2 linked regions of the Cricetulus griseus genome follow. The protein of the gene in region 2 purifies or fractionates together with the protein of the main gene of each other region. This does not show direct contact. Links are inferred from orthologs where the notes say so. Each region holds a gene or a part of one and is shown on either strand. Other genes may lie near its edges.

Evidence for each region. Proteins that work in one complex are often made in the same cells at the same time.
Region 1: the proteins of Arpc1a (region 2) and Arpc4 fractionate together in Homo sapiens (co-fractionation; 7 studies listed by BioGRID and IntAct, with this or other methods). This does not show direct contact. The link is inferred for Cricetulus griseus from reciprocal best matches to the Homo sapiens genes ARPC1A and ARPC4.

Annotation. Positions count from the first base shown.
Region 1 is NC_048601.1:31,414,824-31,424,948, reverse strand, and holds the start of Arpc4 (actin-related protein 2/3 complex subunit 4), read left to right. Parts: upstream 1-3,923; 5' UTR 3,924-4,017; coding exon 4,018-4,023; intron 4,024-4,889; coding exon 4,890-5,008; intron 5,009-5,966; coding exon 5,967-6,078; intron 6,079-8,115; coding exon 8,116-8,211; intron 8,212-9,595; coding exon 9,596-9,766; intron 9,767-10,125. Other genes in the region: Tada3 (transcriptional adapter 3), read right to left, coding at 95-301. UniProt on the Homo sapiens protein: Actin-binding component of the Arp2/3 complex, a multiprotein complex that mediates actin polymerization upon stimulation by nucleation-promoting factor (NPF).
Region 2 is NC_048597.1:81,464,391-81,474,698, forward strand, and holds the start of Arpc1a (actin-related protein 2/3 complex subunit 1A), read left to right. Parts: upstream 1-4,547; 5' UTR 4,548-4,706; intron 4,707-10,308. UniProt on the Homo sapiens protein: Probably functions as a component of the Arp2/3 complex which is involved in regulation of actin polymerization and together with an activating nucleation-promoting factor (NPF) mediates the formation of branched actin networks.

The DNA.
Region 1 (10,125 bases), on a different chromosome or scaffold from region 2:
CATATAGTGTCAATGTTAGGTCATTAACCTAATGAGCCATCCCATAACTTGACACAATCTTTCTCTAGTGATGTCCCCTCTGTTGGAGAATCACCTGGGTTTCAGCTTCCAGTACACGCAGCCGCCTGCTTGCAGAGGACAGCAAGGTCTCAAGCTCCAGCTGCAGAGTGTCCAGCTCCTCAATACCAATGCCATCATCCTCGGAGCGGGCCAGTACTGCCGTGTACCGGGGACAGACCTTCAGGTGGTCCACAGACTTGAAATCATGGAATTGCAATGGGCAGTCCTTCAGTTCACTCATGGCTCAGGAGATGGGATTCTGTAAAACTAGAGAGAAGGCCATTGGATGGGAGACAAAGTAGCATGGAAGAGAGGTCCAACAAAGAAACCAGGATTCAATACCTTTATAGATACGGATGGTGGCAACGTTCCTGTTCATAGAGCCCTGATTGTACAGAGGGGGGCTTACTTCACTGAATTATACACACAACCTTGGGGGATGGGCTTTATTCATGCTTTCCTTTCTTCCTTTGATGAAAAAGGAAACAGACTCCTAAGTGCAATTCATTGTCTTTTTTGTTTTGGTAGCACTTAAGACTGAACCTGAGTCTCACACATGCTGTTATCTTCAGGTTTTTTTTTGTTTTTTTGTTTTTTTTTGAGACAAAGTCTCACTATGTGGTCTTGGCTGGCCTGGTACTCATTATACTTGCCTCTACATCCCAGAGTGCTGGGATAAAGGTGTATACCACCACACCTGACTTCCCATCCTCAAACTTGCTAAGTAACCGAATATTTGTTTTCACCTCCCACGTGATGGGATTCCAGGCATGTAACCACACCTGGCTTATTCAGTGCATGTAGGCACATAGTCTCCAAACAGCTACATTCAGCCCCCTTTCATCAATTTTTTATTGAGACAGGTTCTCACTCAGTTGTCCAGACAGGCCTTGCTTGCACTTATGATCCACCTGCTTCAGCCTCCCTAGTAACTAGGTTTACAAACCTGCATGATTAATTCGAACCCAAGAAGTCTCAAACCTGCACTACAAGAGAGATACCAGTGTGCCCTGTCTTCCTATGCCCTCTGTTGGGCTCTTTCAAGCATTCTATCTTACAGGGTTCACCCAGCCTCTCCTCATTCCACTTTTGTACCTCTCTGCGTCCCTAGCTAGTTTGGAACACGAGCTGGTCAAGCAGACAGAACTAAGTTCCAGCCCATTATGTGCCCCTCTAAACATGTTATTTAACCTGAATCTTAGTTTCTTTTCTTTTTTTTTTTCCAGGACAAGAGATGATGCCTCGGTCCGTTTCCCCATTAAAAAGTATCAATCTGTAAAATGGGGGCATCAAGAGTACCTACCTCCCTGGAATGTTCTGAGGATTAAGAGGTGATGCTTCTCAGGTGCCCAGTTCAGTGCCTGGCACAGAAGTGGGACTGCTTAATGGCTGGCTCCACCTGTGTGTCGCCCCAAGATCCCGCCTCCAGGGTCCTCGTCCTCTAGGGAGCCCCTAACACAGCTCCCGCCTCTCCTACCTCCTCTCTGCGGCCTCCTACAGGCCCCGGGCCGCAGGAGGGGGCGGGGAGTCCAGTGCTCTCAAGCAACCGCCCCGGAACTGGCTATGGGCGGGCCCGGCCCCCTGCAGTTGACGCGAGGGCGGGGACACAGCCAGCCCACGGTGGCCTCCGGGGGGTGGGGGGTCTAAGGCCACCTACGAACCTCCGACAGGTGGAATGCTAGGCCTGAGGTGTCCCCTAGGAAGCAGCCCGGGGCGAGGGCGGGGCTCAGAGCCCAGATCTCCAGGGACCCACTTGCTCGGCCAAGCCCCAGGGCTCCCGGTAGGAGGAGCCCGGGCGGAGAAGGGAGCACCACCGGAAGAAACGTCGGGCTTCTCCGGCTCTGCCTGTCCTAATTTGGTGCCCAACCTGAGGTCGGGCTGTACTATTGTTACATGGGGGGAAGTTACAACAGAGGCGACAAGAACCAAAGGCGCTGGGAAGAGATGTATGGAGACCCAAGGGGCTTCGAGTGCTACTGTGTCATCCCAGGCCTCCTACAAGTCCCTACGGTCCCAGTGTGAGATCGTCCAGGGGATCCGAACGTCGCTCGGAACTTCCTCCCCGGTCCTGCTCGAGATGGTCCCCCCCGGAAGTGCTGGCGGAGACTGCGGCTGCGCCTCGCGAAAGGGCAGGCGTCGCGGGGCCGGGCACTTCCGCACTTCCGCTTTCCGGCCCCGCGACAGCACCCGAGATGGTGAGAGACCCCGGGCTCGGGGGACTCCCTGTGTCTTGCTAGGAGAGGCTGTGGGGTCTGGGGGAGATGCTGTTTGCCGCCTGAGCTTGCGGCCGGAGGTTGCCCTAGGATGAGGGGGCACGATGAGGATGGGGAGGCAGAGGGTGGGGCGAGGGCAAATGCGAGGAGGAAGGAGCGAGCTGGGAGGTGAGCTGGGCAGGAGCAGGCCCGGATGCTTCCAAGTTGGGCATCCCCGGAAGGAATGTTCTCTCGCCAGAGTTCGGAGGAGGCGGGAAGTGGGGCTGCTAGGTCTGTGGTGGCGGCTGCAAGGTAGGACCACTGAGGAATGAAGCAGGGCCTCCTCTTCATCCACGGTAGAGATTCGCTAAGTGCACCCCCTTGTCCCCGCCTGTCTTCTCGATCTCACGGTACCCCAAGGCAAGTGTCCACTCCTCCTTATTACTCTCGATCCCTTCCACCCCTTGCTTCCAGGCCTCAATGAAGGTTCTGTGGTGTTGCCTCCATTCAGGCTCCTTCCTCGTAGTGCGGTACGGTGTTGACCTTAATGTGTGTAAGCGCTGATGACCGCTGGCCCTTCCCTTCCAGGTTTTTTCGGGTTTGGTGTCTGTGGGTGTTCCGTACTGTTGCATCTCTCTTCCTACTGCTTTCCCCGGTCATGCTGGCTTTGATGACCTCAGTTCTAAATGCCGGACTGCTTGCCATGCTCCTGTGACTCGACTCTGGAGAGACACCTTGAAATTAGACCCTCTTGTTCAAAAGTCACATGCTTTTTCTAAACTTGTTCATTCTCCTGCGTTCCATGCCCTAACTGGTTTCATTCCTCAGCCTGAAAGCCGTATCCCTTTGACTGAGGATGTAGCTTTTCATTTTTAAGCATTTAAGTTTTTTTGCACTTGAGATCCTTCTATTCACTAAAGGGCAGACATCACAGGACTAGCCACCTAGAATTCACTTTTAGTTTTCTTACTTTGACTATTAACAAAATAATCAGATAACCATTACTTCAATGAAGGTAGAGAACATTCTATCACTCTTCCAAGGGTACACTCTACCCCAGACAACTACTAATTTCACCCTTCCGGTTTTGCCTTTTTTTGGTTAACATATAAATAGAATTCTCTAGTGTGTAGAGAAAACATAATGCACCGGGCTACGTGCAAACTTAGTTGTGTTTTTAGCCTTTCCCTCCTCTGTCTAACGTCTGGCTGTCCCCTGTGATGCTGTGCTTTCTCCACTCCAGTCTGTACTCAGTGCCTCTTCTGAGTCTCACTTCCCTCCATTCCATTCTCCAGAGAGCCTCTGCTGAAGTCATGTAACTTCCTCCTCAGAAAGTCCCAATGCTTCCTGCCACATTGAGAGAAAGGCTAACTCAGTGAACTGGCATTCTAGATTGTCTAGGGTTTTTATCCCAGCCTGCCATTGCAGCCTGGTCTATGCAGTTTAAAATGCTTCTCGCGGTTCATTTGTTCACTCTACAGGAAATTTGTAAAATGCTATGTATAGGAAGTACTGAGCTAGTTGCAACCAGCATAACTGAATAAAGTTAATGTGTGTTGACCATGAGAATTACAAGCTAGTGAAGGAGAACCAATTTAAGAAAATACATGAAGAATGTCTTGTTGTGAATTATGGTAAAGTGTACATATCATAAACTCTGGTAAATGCACTGAGGAGGAAGTCAAGAAGACCACTTTGAGGAAGGAAGAGGCCTTTTCAGTGAGCTGAGCTCTGACGGACTGACCTAAGCAATGAGGAGGAAAGAATGCAGGTGATGGCCAGCATGTGATAGGCCCTGAGGGGAGACAGAGATAACTTGAGAAATAATGTAGCTGATCATTAAGCTGACCTTGTCTGCTACAGAGAATGTCCCAGGTCTACTTTTTCTCATTGTAAACCCTTCGAAGGCCGGGCGTTAATGGCGCACGCCTTTAATCCCAGCACTCGGGAGGCAGAGGCAGGCGGATCTCTGTGAGTTCGAGGCTAGCCTGGTCTCCAGAGCGAGTGCCAGGATAGGCTCCAAAGCTACACAGAGAAACCCTGTCTCACAAAACAAAACAAACACCTTCCTGATCTTGTGTCTAGTCCATACTAATTTCCGTAGTATGGATTATTTATAAACCTAGTTAATTTTACATTTTGCCTTCCATTAGTCCTTGTGATCTCATCCAGTTGAGTTATTTGAGAGCAGAAGTTATCTGACTGAATTCCCAGTGTGCTCAGGGCATGGATCAATACATTTGTCCATGTAGGAAGCAGGTGGAGGGCGTGGACCCATCTAGATCAGTATCACCCAGCCTCATCACTGTGGCTTTTGGGGCTGGGTAATTCTTGTGCATCCCAGATGTTGGGTGGCATGACTTACGTCCATAGTCCCCACCCAGCCCCCAAGTCATAACAGTTTTTTTTCTCCAAATTTTGCTAAATGCCAAGTAGAATTGTTTGCTGCTGGGAACCACTGCTGCAGACTCCCGACTGGGCTGTATCTTGAAGGCTGGGTGTGTTCTGTTCTGTGTGATGACCACGCCTGAAGCTTTCAGTATTGTGTGTTCCATAGGAGCTTTGGCGGGGGCAGGGGGATAATGGCTTTGGTGTGGTAGACTCTGGTCCTTCCTAATCTTGGGTTTATTCCTGCAGACTGCCACTCTCCGCCCCTACCTTAGTGCCGTGCGGGCCACACTGCAGGCTGCCCTCTGTCTGGAGAACTTCTCCTCCCAGGTCGTGGAACGACACAACAAGCCAGAGGTGGAAGTCAGGTAGGGAAGAGGGTCAGAATGGGGCTGAGGAGAACAACTCACAAGAGCAGACCCTGTCTAAAGGGGCCATGTTGACAGGCCAAAACCCATGGAAGACCTACATAGCCCAAAGTGTGGCCCCTGGAGTAGCGCTGTGGAGAAGTGTCTCCGGTAGCATTACTGAGGCCACTGGCAGCTCCAGAAGAAGGCACAGGCTTTAGTTCCTAGAGTTGACATCTCTGTATTAATGATTTAAGGATCAGGACTTTTTTTTTACTTTTTATCTCATTAATAGTGCCAGACAGTTTAGACCCTCTAACACCCAAATATTCCATGTTTTGAATGCAGTTTTGTCTTGTCTGGCTTTCATTTCATAAGTAAATAAATATTTTTCCTTTTTGAAATTTCACCTGGCAAGGATATGCGAGACTACTGATCCCAGCACATGGAGGCTGAGGCAATAGCAATAGAACCACAGGGTCGGGGATAGCCGTAGCTACAGAACAGGTCTTTTCTCACGAAACCAAAAGAAGCTGGCTGTTGTGGTGCACAGCTTTAATCCCAGCACTCAGGAGGCAGAGGCAGGTGGATCTCTGTGAGTTTGAAGCCAGTCTGGTCTACAGAGTAAGTTCCAGGACAGGCTCCAAAGCAATACAGAGAAACCCTGTCTCAAGAAGAAAAAAAAAAAAAGGAAGCAAAGGGGGGAAAATCTGGGATGAACATAGTTGAAATAAGTTGTGTTACCAAATAGGTAATGAAGGTATTTTTATTGCTGGGGATTGAATCTAGGCCCTTGGGCATGTTAGGCACACAGTCTACAGCTGAGCCATATCCCCAAAATGATTGCTGTGACTCAAACAATTCTAACGTTAGGATGGACTGTGTTGTTACTTGATATACATGGTTTTCAAGTGGTGACCTTTACAGATACCTAGAAAGTCAATGGCATCAGCTTGGTCCTCTGATTTTGTGTTTTTAGGAGTAGCAAAGAACTCCTATTGCAACCTGTTACTATCAGCAGGAATGAGAAGGAAAAGGTTCTGATTGAGGGCTCCATCAATTCTGTCCGGGTCAGCATTGCTGTGAAACAGGTGAGTCACCATGGAGAGGGCACAGTTAGGAGCGCTCTTCACAGCCAGGGATCCCTTCTGAAAGGTCGGTGAGCTAGATTCAGAGCCTGCTTTCAGGAATTTACTTGGCATGATTGGCCAGAGCAGATATGGTTGCACATGCGTGTAATCCTAGCCCATGGAAGTCTGAGACTGAAGATGGAAAACCCAAGACCAGTCTGTCTGGGCTACTTGGTGAGTCCCTATCTGAAAAAACAAACAAAACAAAAACTGGGTCAGTGGAATAAAACTGCAACAACACTATCCCATAGCCCTGGCTCTGGATTACAAACAGGGAAATGCAGCCGGCAAGGACATAGGTGATGGTTGTGTGCACTTAGAGCACTATCAACCAGCACTGGTTTGATAGCCATAGTTTCTGACACTGCCATTTCATTTAAAAACAGATGGTACAACACACATGCACATATGGAATTCTCAGCAACAGCAAAAAAGGAGCAGACCATCCATTCTAGCTTGTCTTTCAGAAACAGCTGTGTAGGCTAGCAGTGGGTGGGATGATAACATCATGAAAGAAAAATGCCAACAAGAACACTGGCAAAACTATCAGAACTGAAGATCTGTTTTAACAGTAATTGCCCAGACAAATGTCATAGTGTTTTCTTTGTGCATTTTCTCTAGTAGTTTTATAGTTGAAGGACCTACTTCTAGTCTTTTATCCATCTTCAGTTAATTTTTGTATATGGTATAAGGGTCTAGTTTCATTCTTCCACATATGAATGACCAGTTGTCAGCACAATTTGTTGAAGAAATTCCTGCCATTGTGTGACCTTAGACTTTTGTTGGAAATCAGTTGACTTTAAATATTTCAGTTTCTTTGTGAGCTTTCTCTTCTCTTCCAATTCATATATGTATAAAATAGGATTTCCATTTCTTACACGTTTCCTTAAGCGATATTTGACAAATATCTACCACATAGGTCTGGGCCTTGCTGTCTCAGTATCAGTTGAATGGTTATTTAATATTTGTTTTTAAATTTGACCTAGATTCCTTTTTTTTGCTTGTTTTTCAAGATAGGGTTTATCTGTGTAACAGCTCTGGCTGTCCTGAAACTTACTTTTTAGACCAGGCTGGCCTCAAGATCAGAGAGATCACCTGCCTCTTCCTCCGAAGTGCTGGGGTTTCAGGCCTGTGCCAGCACTGCCCTGTTTTTGACCTGGATTCTATTTCCCATTAAGAAAGAAACTTTGTATCTTAAGTGGGAAAATAGTATCATTTGCCCCAACTCTAAAAATAGCAGTTAAAAACAATGTTACAAATCTTACCTTTTGAAAGCCTTCAGCCTTAAAAGGAAGGGGGGGGCGCTGGAGAGATGGCTCAGAGGTTAAGAGCACCGACTGCTCTTCCAGAAGTCCTGAGTTCAATTCCCAGCAACCACATGGTGGCTCACAACCATCCATTATGAGATCTGGTGCCCTCTTCTGGTGTGCAGATATGCATGGAAGCAGAATATTGTATACATAATAAATAAATAAAATCCTTTTGAAAAAAAAAAAGGAAGGTACGGAAGCCCTGGCAGGCAGGGGGCTGGGTGGCTTTACTGGTGTCTGATTGCCAAGATGCAGAAGTAATTGGAAGAGTTGAAAAAAGAGAGACTTCAGGATTGTTGGATTTTAGTAATGTTAAGACAGACACTCCTTGAGGAAATCTGTGAGGTGGGTCCCACCGATGCTGAGAAAGGCCACACTAGTGACATGAGGAAGGTCAGGCAGCTTCAGATACAGGTGTGGACTCCATCACAGCTGATGAAAGACTAGTTTGCCAGAGTTCCCTCACCGGTGTGAGATGAGAGCTCAGTAACTAACACCTGTTAAGGCCAAGTGGCCCTGGCTGGGCCCTCGCTGCAGTTAGCAGCTGGTGCTGCAATTCAAAGATCAGCAGTCTTTGTTCCCACCAAACCTCTCAGCAGTGGGGAGGTTCTGGGCCAGACAAGCAGGCCCGGGGTGATTTTGGCTTTGCCTGTCTGCTGGAGAGCCGTCTTTGTCTTTGTGTCATCAGGCTGATGAGATTGAGAAGATTTTATGCCATAAGTTCATGCGCTTCATGATGATGCGAGCAGAGAACTTCTTTATTCTTCGAAGGAAACCTGTGGAGGTGAGACCTATCTTCTGGAATTTGAGATTCCCAGGATTCTGTCTCTAGGTGGCCTGGGTTTGTTTGTTTGGTTTTTGCAGTATGGGGGATGGAACCTAAGGCCTAGCACTGCTGGGCAAGTTACTGGGCTATTCCCTGGGTCTGGGGATTGAAGGCCAAGGGCTGCTGCTTTTCTAGCTGTAGGGTATTACTGCTTGGACTGAGTTAGCCCATATATGGTAGCAGGAGGACAGAACCCCAGGAAGAGGTAGGTCTGTGCAGTGCCCTCTTTCAAAGAATCTTGGGCCTAGTCACAAACAAAACAGTTATTTCAAAATTCTTTCTGAGCTGGGTGTGGTGGGCATGCTTGCACTCCCAGTATGTAGGAGACCAAGGCAGGAGAATCATGCATTTGAGACAAAAGAAAGGAAGAAGACAAAAATGAAACAAAAATCTTCCTAAGCTCTCCCAGCTGAAGTCCAGCTCTCAGAGCCCCAGTAAACAGTGAGATGCTTGCTGCCTGCCTTTGCGTTTAAAGATACTTGAGTCTACTCCATAGGCTCCTGATGATTGTTGGGTGCCGCGTGCGCCCAAAGATGATCCGTCGTCCATAAGGCTAAGATTTCTTTATTTAGATAAACAGCAGCCCAAATGCAAGCCAGAGCGTGCCAGGGGCAGCAAGGCAGCTAGGCCAGAAAGGGGCCAGAAAGAAGGGGCTATTCACGTGTGCGCGGTCCCTTAAGAATCATTCCCATGTCACCTTAGACCTCTCCTGACCACTCCCTCATGGGCGTGTCCCGGCACACCTGTCCTGGCTACTAGGAGGCTGGGCTACAGTGTCTCCCTACAGGCTCCCTGCCAAGTCTCCCTGGTGACCTAGCAGCCACCATGTGTTGGTCTGTTTTTCACCTTGAGCCACCTTCTCTCTGTGTCCTCACTCTAACCTCTGGGGCCACTAGAGTAAATGAGCTCACTCTTCCTCACACATCCTCCTGTAGCAAACAGCTCCAGTTCCATCCTCTTCCATGTCAGTTCTGTGTTTTTTGTTTTTTGTTTTTAAACTATTGAGTTGGGTTTTTTGAAATAAGATTTGTGGCCCCTTTATTTCCTTAGCTCATTTTGAATACAGGGCTGTTTGTGCCACATTCTTTCAGGGACATCTGACCCCGCACACAATTTTGAACTGGGTTCAGTTGCTTGGGTCCAGCAAACACATACAACACACAATCGCCCATATGCGCCCCTCACCAAGCAAGCGGATTGCTGACTAAAGGACAGATGTGTAGCTTGGGAGAAGATGGTAGCCAGTTGGAAGCCTGTGTTAGTGTACAGAAGATATGACAACCATGTGACCCTGGGGACTAATTTTGTCTTGTCTCCTTTCCCTGCTGGCTTCCCTCCCTAGGGGTATGACATCAGCTTTCTTATCACCAACTTCCACACGGAGCAGATGTACAAACACAAATTGGTGGACTTTGTAATCCACTTCATGGAGGAGATTGACAAGGAGATCAGTGAGATGAAGCTATCTGTCAATGCCCGGGCCCGCATTGTGGCTGAGGAGTTCCTCAAGAATGTGAGTAGGACCTCCCCACTCCATACCAGAGGAAGAAGCCATGGCTTCTGGTAATGTGGCACCTACCAGATATTCCTGAGGCCAAGGATTTCATCCTTGAGAGCCCCAAGGGATTTTGTTTGTTTTGTTTTATTATTTCTGCAAGTCTGGGAGGCAAGTCTCTAGTGGACATAAATGTAGGCATGAATTCTGTATTTTTCCAGTTTTACATAGTGTTTACCTGTCCTAATTCAAACCTCAGAGTGAGGAAGATAAAGTGCTTTGTGACTCCTCTGAGACCATAGAACAGTTAATCGTGTAAGTCCACTTCTCAAACAGACATAAATATTTTCCTTCAGTGTCTGTTTCTCAGGCTTACC
Region 2 (10,308 bases):
GTGGTGCTATGTCAGCTTTACATGGGTTCTAAGAATCTGAACTCCAGTCCTCACAATTGTATGGCAAGTGCTTTATAAATTGAGCCATCTCTCCAGCCCAAATTTTCCCCTTTATAAGTTAATGATCTCAAGTATTTTATTATAGTGATGGAAAGCTAATGCAACATCTACCCTGATAACTAAGTTTTCAAAGGCATACTTCTCATTTTGTATACTAAATCAGCGTCACTACACAAGTCTAAAAAACAAGCCCAGAGTAACTCAATACTCATTCTATTTGGAATTTGAGTGATTATACGAGGTCACAATGAAAGACTAGAAGAAACTAGAGCAGGAGGCCATCCTTGCTCCCTACCTTGTATCAAAATTGTCAAGCCTCAAAATACTCTTGTAGAAAACATGGTCTTGGATGGATAGATAGATAGATAGATAGATAGATAGATAGATAGATAGAAAAAATACTCTTGTAGTTTCCTTAGTTGTAGAATAAGGCAGCTTGACTTAAAGAGCCTTTTATAAAGCTAAAATTTCAACTGCCTCAAATGCCCCCACAAAACATGAAATGTAGACTTTATTTAGGCTAACACAATAAACAGTGACTCAAAAGATGGAATTGAAGCTGGATGTGGCGGTGAATACCTTTAATCCCAGCATTTGGAAGGCACAAGCAGGTGGATCTCTGAATTCTGGGCCAGCCTGGGCTACACAGCAACTTCCAGACTAGTCAGGTATACATGGTAAAATTCTGTCTGCAAAAACAAACAAAACCAAAACAAACAAACATGGAGTCAGATTATCTACTGCACGGCTCTTATTTACTAGCATTGTGATGCTTCACTTTGTCAACCCGAATGGATTTAGAATCACCTTGGAGACACATATCTGCGCATGTCTGAATGTGGTGGCACCATCCGTGGCTGGGGTTCTGGATTGAAGGAAAAGGAGAAATGGAGCTGAGCACCATCCTTCATCTCTGTGCTTCCCAACCTGGATGGGATTCAGGGAACATGCTTGTACCCAGCAGCCTCCAGCTCCCTCTTCCATGTCTTCCCTGCAGTAAGGAATGACATCTCTTCACACCACAAGCTGAAATAAACCTTCCTTCTTTAAGGATTTTGTCATCGATTTATATCACAACAATGGTAAAGTAACACACAGACACGGGTGTGCACCTGTCATTTATCGTAGACAGTATATTTTTTTATCCATCCAGACTAAGATTCTTCAAAGAAGAAACTGTCCCTTGTAAAGAGTTGGAGTCTAGATAAAACACAGCCAAGTTTTCCCTTGTTTGCTTATTTTTGGCTATGGGTACCCAGAGGTATACACTCAGGGACTGGTGCATAAGGAATACTTGTTTTCCATGAAGGCTGTTCTTGCATTGTCAAGTTGTCTCTTAGGAGATATATTTAATTTACAATTATCTTCCTACTCCATCCCCTTGCTCCCCCATAACAGAACCTGTGTTGTGAACTATTCCTTTATACTGTGTGAAGATGTGTCTCTCTGATTGGTTTAATAAAGAGATGAATGACCAATAGCTAGGTAGGAAGAGGTTAGATGGGACTTCTGGGGACAGAGAGGACTGGGGAAGAAGAAAGGGGGAGTCACCAGCCAGACACAGAGGAAGTAGGACATGCAGGAGAGGTAAAAGCCAGGGTCACGAAGCAACATGTAGACTAATAGAAATGGGTTATTTTAAGTTATAAGAGCTAATTAGAAACAAGCCGAAGCTAAGGCCAAGCTTTCAAAATTAACACGAAGTCTCCATGGCATTATCTGGAAGCTGGCTGGCAGGACAGAGAAAGACTCATTACAAACCTGTAGCCATGCAACAAATTAAAAAACAAGGACGTCCAAGTCATGAGGGCTCTGTGAACAACTGGACTATTTAATGGCAAATAACTCAGCACAGATGTGAAATCAGGAGTTTTGCAAGTTCACCTGCACAGACAGCACCTTACAATCAAGGGATTGTGAGCTGAAATCCCTTAAATTTCTGTCTATACTGAAAGTTCTGCCATTGCTTGACTAGAACATGGTGTGAGAGATCAAATGTTATAGATTCCAAGATAAAATTACCTTGGGGCATCTTGGGCCTTTTTGTAGCCATTTACTAGCCTTTATTTCCCTTTTTTCCTTTTTAGTTTTTATTCATAATCATAAACTTCACTCTGCAAACCAGATAGGCTTGGAGGGGAACCCAAAGAACTTCAATGAGAGTGGAGATCACCGGGTATTTCAAGCAGATAGTGTGGGGGACTCTCCTGTGCTACAGAAAGAGTGGTCTGGTGTGTAAGATGCCTGAAAGTCAAAAGAATTAGAGTTGTCCACAGTTGGAAATGGTTATCTTCTTACTGGACTTGCCATTCCTGGACCCAAAATGCTGGATGGCTTCCATGATGCTCATGCCTTCTTTCACCTTTCCAAAGGCCACATCTTTCATCCAGCCACACTCAGTTTTGGCTGTGGGAGAAAAAGAAAAATGGAAAAAACCCAACAAACCAACCAACAAACAAACAAACAAAAAGAACCCCAAACAAAAAAGAAAAAAAAAACAAACAAAACTGGGAATCATTTGTGTTTGGTCCAGCATTTGCCATGGACAAGATGCCAGGACCCGTATTCTTCAGGATGAAGTTCTCATCTTCAAATTTCTCCCCACAAACAGATCTGCCACCAATGACACTATGGCATGTGAAGTCACCACTTTGGCACATGTATCCTGGAACAATTCTATGAAAGGAGGGACCCTTATATCTAAATCCTTTCTCTCCAGTGCTCAGAGCACAAACGTTTTCTGCTGTCTTTGGAACTTTGCCTGCAAACATATTGAAGGAGACATGCTGAGATGTTGAAGAACACGGTGGCATTGAGCATGACTGCAGGAAGAGGCGAAAGTGGACAGTAGTGCCTACAAAGTCTGTTTCCCTTTTTAAAAATCTTCATTTTTGAGACAGGATCTCATGTAGCCTAGACTTCCCTCAAACCCTTTATGTAGCCTAGTCTGGCTTTGATCTTCTGCCTTTGCCACGGAAGTGCTGAGGTTACAGGCATGTGGTGCCCTATCCGGTTTATACAGGGCTCAGGATCTAACCCAGGGTTTCGTGTGCAGACTAGGCAAGCACTCTGCCAACTGAGCTACTTGCCCTGCCCCCATCTTTATTGTTACACTTAGCTTTATTCTCAGGCTTATTGTGTAAGCCCTTTACAGTATATTACTATGCTCAGTGGACCTCTAGCTCCCACCAACCCTGAAGCTAAGAGTACTCTTACATTGAACCTATGGAAGAGATTGATTCTCCCTGCCATATGCCTCTTACCTGACATTCCCACCAAAGGAACTCTGCTAAATCCATCGATTTATGGCTCTCTCTTGTCCAGCAACTATAAAAGTCCACAAAAGGTCAGTGAGATGGCTTGGTGGGGAAACACTTGCTGAGCAAGTCTGAACACATGAGTTTGATGCCCGGAACCCACGTAAAGGTGAAAGCAGAGAACTGACTCCACAACGTTGTCCTCTGGCCTCCATAAGAATGCTACCCACATACACATCATACACACGGACAAACTAATAATAATTCTAAAAAACATTGCAACTGGTTTCAAAGTGGACCATGCATTTAGGGCAGTGAATCTGAGCATTGCTGGGCAATACTCACTTATATTTGATTCAGAATAAACTATTTCCTTATTTCCTTTAAGGCAGTGTTTACTGTCCACTGGGTCAAATATGTAAACCACCACAAGAGCACAAGACAAGGGCTGGGTTGCCCACTTCATAATTTCTGCCAGGGCAGGGGCAGCAGTCTGACTGAATGTGGGGGTCAGGGCAGTTCTTTAAAAGTTGCATCTACACAGCAAAAAGACTTACTATATTGCCATCATTCCTTCTTGTAGTGTTATCTTGGGTGCAGGACAGGTGATCCTGACCTAGGTCAAGGAGACTCTAGAGTAGACATGAGACTTCCTACAGAGGGTACACGGCAGAGACAGCACTCCAGGCAGAAAGTGGTTTGCCGTGACCCAACCTCTATGAAGGACACAGACTTAGTTGCAGAGGTTGGAGAGATGGTTTAGCCTACACCACTGTACTGTTCTTGCTGAGGACCTAAGTTCAGTTACCGGCACCCACATCGGGGAGCATACAATTCCAGCTCCAACATGATCAGCTGTCCTCTTCAGGCCTCCAAGGGCACCTGCATGTACATATTAATACAGAAATCCACATAATTAAAAATATGTATTTTTTAGGATTTGAATTGCTCTTCAGATCCACAAGGCGCAAGAGAACCTAATCCTCAGTTATTTACAACAAAAAGCCCTTGAGATACTGCCAACACCTCATACCTGGGCCATGGCTCAGGAACATGTACATATATATATATACACTTTTTTATTCTCCCTTAAAGAAAGGAGTAGGACGCCCACCCAGTTCCACAGGCACACCCTTGCGCTGACATGTGGCGGCCTCACCGAAGTGACAGCAGCTGTTCAGACACAGCCTCCCAACGCGCGCTGAGCTCTGCGCCTGCGCCCGCCACCTGCGCGGCCGCGCTGCGCAGGCGCCCTGACCACTTCCGGGATCTGTCAGCCGCTCCTTCTGGGCCTCCCTCCTCCGTCCGCGCCCGCCGGAGCCTGTTCGCGTCGACTGACCAGAGTCCGCGAATCGTTCGCTCCGGCTCTCCGGACCGCCCAGATCCCAGGTAAGGGGCTGCAGGGCCGAGCGCCTGGCCCGGGTCGCCTCCATTTCTCGCATCTTCTATGGGACGCGGGGGCGGCGGGCCCGGGGCACCTAGGCACCGGGTCTCGACCTGAGGGGGCCCGCATCTCCGATCTTCATGGTGACCCCTGAGTCCCTGGTGCCCCCATACACACAGATCGAGCGTTTCTGAGCACTTTCCGGCTGCCCTCCGTCTCGGATGAGAGAATCGACAGCTTGGCCTCCGACACCCTCACAGTACCATTTGCCCCCCTACTGTGAGCATTTTACCACAATCTGTAAAATTGGTTCAGACCGGGCAGATCTCCCCCGAAGGCTTGTCATGAAGGCTTGCCATCTCTTCAACGTCTAGGATGTTGATTAGACCAGCCTGTGATCCGTCAGTTATTGGGGGACCCTACCCAACAAGAGAAAAGCCATCTTTGGAGTAACCTTAAGATTCCTCTGTTCTTGCCCCCTCCCGCGCCCAGTCAAAGTTGCACCTCCTATTCACTGCATGGAGTCCTTTATGTAGGACCGCCAAAGTTCTCATTTGACTCTGCCACTTTTTCCGGATGACCCTGGGAAGGTTGCTTCTTGGTGTCTTGGTTTCCCCAGCTACAATAAGTAGATTCTTAGTCTACTTAGTTTTTATTAGGTCAAAGTGAGTTTATTTGCTTAAGTTGCTTACAGTAATTCCTGGCCCAGAGTAGCTGTTCAAATAATATGAAAATAAAGGCTTCTTAGACGTTCTACAAATATCTACCTTCCTTCCCTTTGTTCTCTTTCTTCAGACTTGAAGACTAGCATTTATTTATGCTTCTGACCTCATTCAAATACTCAACATTGTTGGGAACCTGGTAGGCACTTAATAAATTGTAGCTTAGGATCTCTGATTATAAAGCCATCTGTTGTCATGCTGTGGCTTGGGAGTCTCCCTCCTATCTACTTGTTGCCCAATTTACTGAAATGACCTAGTTTGCACGCTCTTTTATCAATTTTATTTAATCTTTTTTTGTTTGTTTGTTTTTCAAGAGGGAGTTTTCTCTGTGTAACAGCTCTGGCTGTCCTGAAACTCTTTGTAGACCAGACTGGCCTCAAACTCACAGAGATCCACCTGGTTCTGCCTTCCGAGTGCTGGGATTAAAGGCATATGCCACCATATTCAGTCAGGTTCACTTAATCTTTTTGTTTCCATGTTGGCCTTAGGAATTTGGGTCTCTAGAAGTTACCAGTTTGGGGTGTTTGCCCTGTTAGAGTGAGTCTTGGTGGCTACTTCCTACCACACAATATCTGGGGGCCTTCTCCAGTTTATCTGCTGTATCCAACTGGGGGATCCTGGAAATTGCAAACTCCCTCAGAAGATGGGTGACAGTGTTTTGATCTAAATATCTAGGGTTACATCAAAACAAATTGAGTACAGGAAGTATAGAATGGTCTGATGAAGCTGGAATTTGGAGTGAAGCCTGTCCGAACATTGGTAGGGTGTGGTGACCTTGTTGGAGTAGCTCGAGTTGCTGGGTGGGTTGGGTAATGAGAGCGATTCGAAACTAGATGAATCACAGACTTGATATTGACCCTAACAGGGAATGGAAATTTCAACTTACGTGAATTTGTCAAGCACCAGTGGAGCGGGGCCAAGAAACTAACATATATCAATGTTTTCAAGTTCAGAGGGTCTTTCTAGGGGTGTCCCCAAGCTTTGTGTCAGAGGAAGAAAGAGAAGTAATTTACTGAGCTACCAAGATGGCTCTACCATTAAAGGCTAGGCTTACAACCAAAAAGACCACAGAACTAGTCTACTGAGATCAATTTTGGGCTGGTTTTGGATTGACATGCTTTTATGTGCTATCTCATTTAATCCTTCTGACACACAATAGTGTGGTGTCACTTGGAGACCTACATTACAGATGAAAAGTGACTTACCCAGCATCTCATTATGTATGTGTCAAAGCCAAGATTCTAACTCAGGTCTCCTTGTCTCCAGAGCCCATGGCTAACCATCCTTTAAAATGACTCCACTTGAAAGTTGGGATTAGTGTTGAGTTGGTAGAGCACTTGCATGGTGCGCATAGTGCCGAGGTTGGCTCACCAGCACCACAGGAAGAAAAGACAGTACTAAGTGGTAATTGAAGAGAGTGGGAACCTATGGAGTCATCCTATTTCTTCATCCTTCATTGCTAGACATGGACAACAGAAGCCTGGTTTTTGTTTGAGACAGGGTCTTAGTCCTGGTGGTCCTAGAACTCAGATCTTTCTGCCTCTGCCTCCTAAGTACCTGGCAAAATCTGTGCAGTACAATGTCATCACCTGTGGTGTTCCCTTTTCTCCTCATGAGTCTTGTTAAGATCAAACATGGCTTAAATGTCACCTGCAATGTAGAGATTAAAATTACTAACATATACATGAAGGTTTACCTTACATGGTAAAAAATTCAGGCTTAAAATAGCCAAATGATTATAAAGGAAAGACTGTGTAGCAGGCTTTCTCGACTGCCAGGCCCCAAACTATGACACGGAGACTTATTATTAGTTATGAATGGTCTGCCTTGGCTTGGGCTTGTCCCACTAGCTCTTGTAACTTAATTTAACTTGTTTCTCTTTATCTGTGTTTTGCTTCAGGGCTTTTTACCTTTCTTTCATTCTGTATGCCCTACTTTTTTGCTTCCTCTGTGTCTGGCTGGCCCCTGACGTCTCCCTTTCTTTCTCTCTAGTTCACTCTCCTCTTGAGCCAGGATTCCTACTCCTACTTATTCTCTCTAGCTAGCCCCGCCTATCCCTCTACTGCCTAGTTATTGGCCATTCAGCTTTTTTAAAAACCAATCAGGTGCCTTAGGCAAGCAAGGTGAAACAGCAACATATCTTTACATAATTAAATAAATGCAGCCAGGTGTTGGTGGTGCATGCCTTTAATCCCAGCACTCAGGAGGCAGAGGCAGGCAGATCTCTGTGAGTTCGAGGCCTGCCTGGTCTCCAGAGTGAGTGCCAGTATAGGCTCTAGAGCTACACAGAGAAACCCTGTCTCAAAAAACCAATAAATAAATAAATAAATAAATAAATAAATAAATAAATAAATGCAGCATAAACAAATACAATTTATCTTTACATACTAAGCAATGCAGCATAAGCAAATGTAACACAGCTTTACATAGTTAAAGTAATATTCCACAACAGACATATCCGGGTTTTTTTTTTTCTTTCCAAGACAAGATCTCTCTGTAGCTTTGGAACCTCTGTAGACCAGGCTGGCCCTGAATTTACAGAGATCCTCCTGCCTCTGTCTCTGAAGTAGTGAGATTGAAGGCATGTGCTACCACTGCCCAGCGAGCAGCAAGTGCTCTAACCACTGAACTTTCTCTCTCCCCCTACCCCAACAAGATGTTGTTTTGGGTTTAATATTTGACAAAATTAGAATAAGCATATCAGATTTCAGAGACAAGGAGAGATTGCATGTAGTGTGCATCTGGAGGTTTTGTTTTGTTTGTTTGTTTGGGACATGCCCAGTTATTTTTTTGTATGTATGAGTGTAAGTGCACATGTGTCATGGCATATATGTGGAGATCAGAGTACAGCTTGGTTTTCTCCTACCATGTGGGGTCTAGGCACTGAACTCAGGTCATTAGACTTGGCACTAAGTACCTTTACTCACTGAGTCATCCATCTTACTAGCCCTTGGTTGTTACTTCTGAGACAAGGTTTCTCTGTGTAATTCTGACAGTAGTGAGCCTCCTGCTCTGTCTTCTGAGTATTGAGATTGCAGGCATATACTGTCTTGAAATTAGTTTATATTTGTTTAGAGTTAGAGTCTTTATATGTAATCTTGAATCTGAGAACTCACTATGTAGATCAGGCTGGCCTAGAACTCATAGAAATCCAACTGCTTCTGCCTCCCCAGTGCCAGGATTAAAGGCATGCACTTCTATACCCAGTTGAAAGTTTGTATTTAAAAGTAAATTAAGCAGTCTCACGTGAATTCATTTTTTTTTTTGTAATTTCTAAGTAAGCCTAGCATATGCAAAGTGCTGAATTCTTTACTTTGCACCAAAAAATGTAAATAAGGAGCTAGAGGGATGGCTCAGCATTTAAGAACATACACTGCTCTTGCAGAGGACCCACATTTGATTCCTAGCACCATTATCAGTCAACTCATAACTGTCTGTAACTCCAGCTCCAGATGATTCACCCTCTTCTGGCTCTTGCAGACACTGCACTTGGGTATATAAACTCAGACAGACAGACTTACCCCAATACACACACACACACACACACACACACACACACACACACACACACACACAATTTTAAAATGTTAAAACCTTTTTTTAAACAGTAAGTTAATTAAGATGAAAGTCAAATTAAAGGCTCTTTGAGTCACAATTTGCTTTCTAGAACATAAAAAAGTAAAAATTGCAATAACAAATATTTCACTTTTTTTTGTTTTGTTTTTTTTTTTGAGACAGGGTTTCTCTGTAGCTTTGGAGCCTGTCCTGGAACTTGCTCTGTAGACCAGGCTGGCCTCGAACTCACAGAGATCTGACTGCCTCTGCCTCCAGAGTGCTGGGATTAAAGAGGTGTGCCACCAATGCCCAGCTTTTGGCTTTTTGAGACAGTCTCATGTAGCTCAGGCTGACTTTGTATTTGCTGTGTAGTTGAGGATGACTTTGAATTCCTGATCCTTTTGTCTCCACCTCCAAAGTCTTGGATTTACAGGTGTGTACCACCACATCCACCAAATATCTTCACTCTTGAGTAGAGTGTCAGTTGAAGGTAGATATCAGGTACTTTTTAGTTTTTCATCTTTGGATTCCTTGAGCAGAGTGTTTCTTTTCCATGCCACAGGCACTCATAGTTTTGCTGATTGGGTTCACCTGTTGTTTGCCTTGCAACTTTACAGGGTCTCTTCTGTTCATTTTCTGCTGGTGCCAGAATTCCTATCTCACTGGACATGGTGGCACATGTCTGCAATTCTTCCAACATTCAAGAAGCTAAGGCAGGAGAATTGTTAATTGGAAGCCAGCCTGGGCTACATAATAAGACCCTGTCATAAATGAAGAGACATTAATCACACAGCATTTGGGAGGCAGGGGCAGGAGGCTCTCTATGAGCTTGAGGCCAGCCTGATCTACATAGTGAGTTCGAGGCAACCAAGGCTACATAGTGAGAAGAAAGGACATTCCATCCCAAACACATGATCAGTTAGTTTATCTCCTGGTGGCTACAACATGATCTTACCTAAGGCAATACCATTATCATAGCTAGGAAATTAAGATAATTTCATGCTGTTATATAATAATTGAGCTCAAATTCAGATTTGTTACACAATGCATGTCTTCTGTGGTTATTTTTAAACATGCCAATTATAATCAACTGTCTTTTATGAAATTTGATTTTCATAGCTCTTTTTGAAATCTGGTACAGACTCTTCCTTCTGCCGCCCAAGTGCTTGGATCGCAGCTGTTGACTACCGTACCTGCCCTTGTTGCCTTGTAAAATAACCCGGGCAAGTTGTTCTCTAGAGGGCCTCTCTAGGATTTTTAATTTAGTGAGAAAAAGAGAGACAGAAACAGAGTGTGTGTGAGTATGTGTTTATGTGTGTGTACATGCATG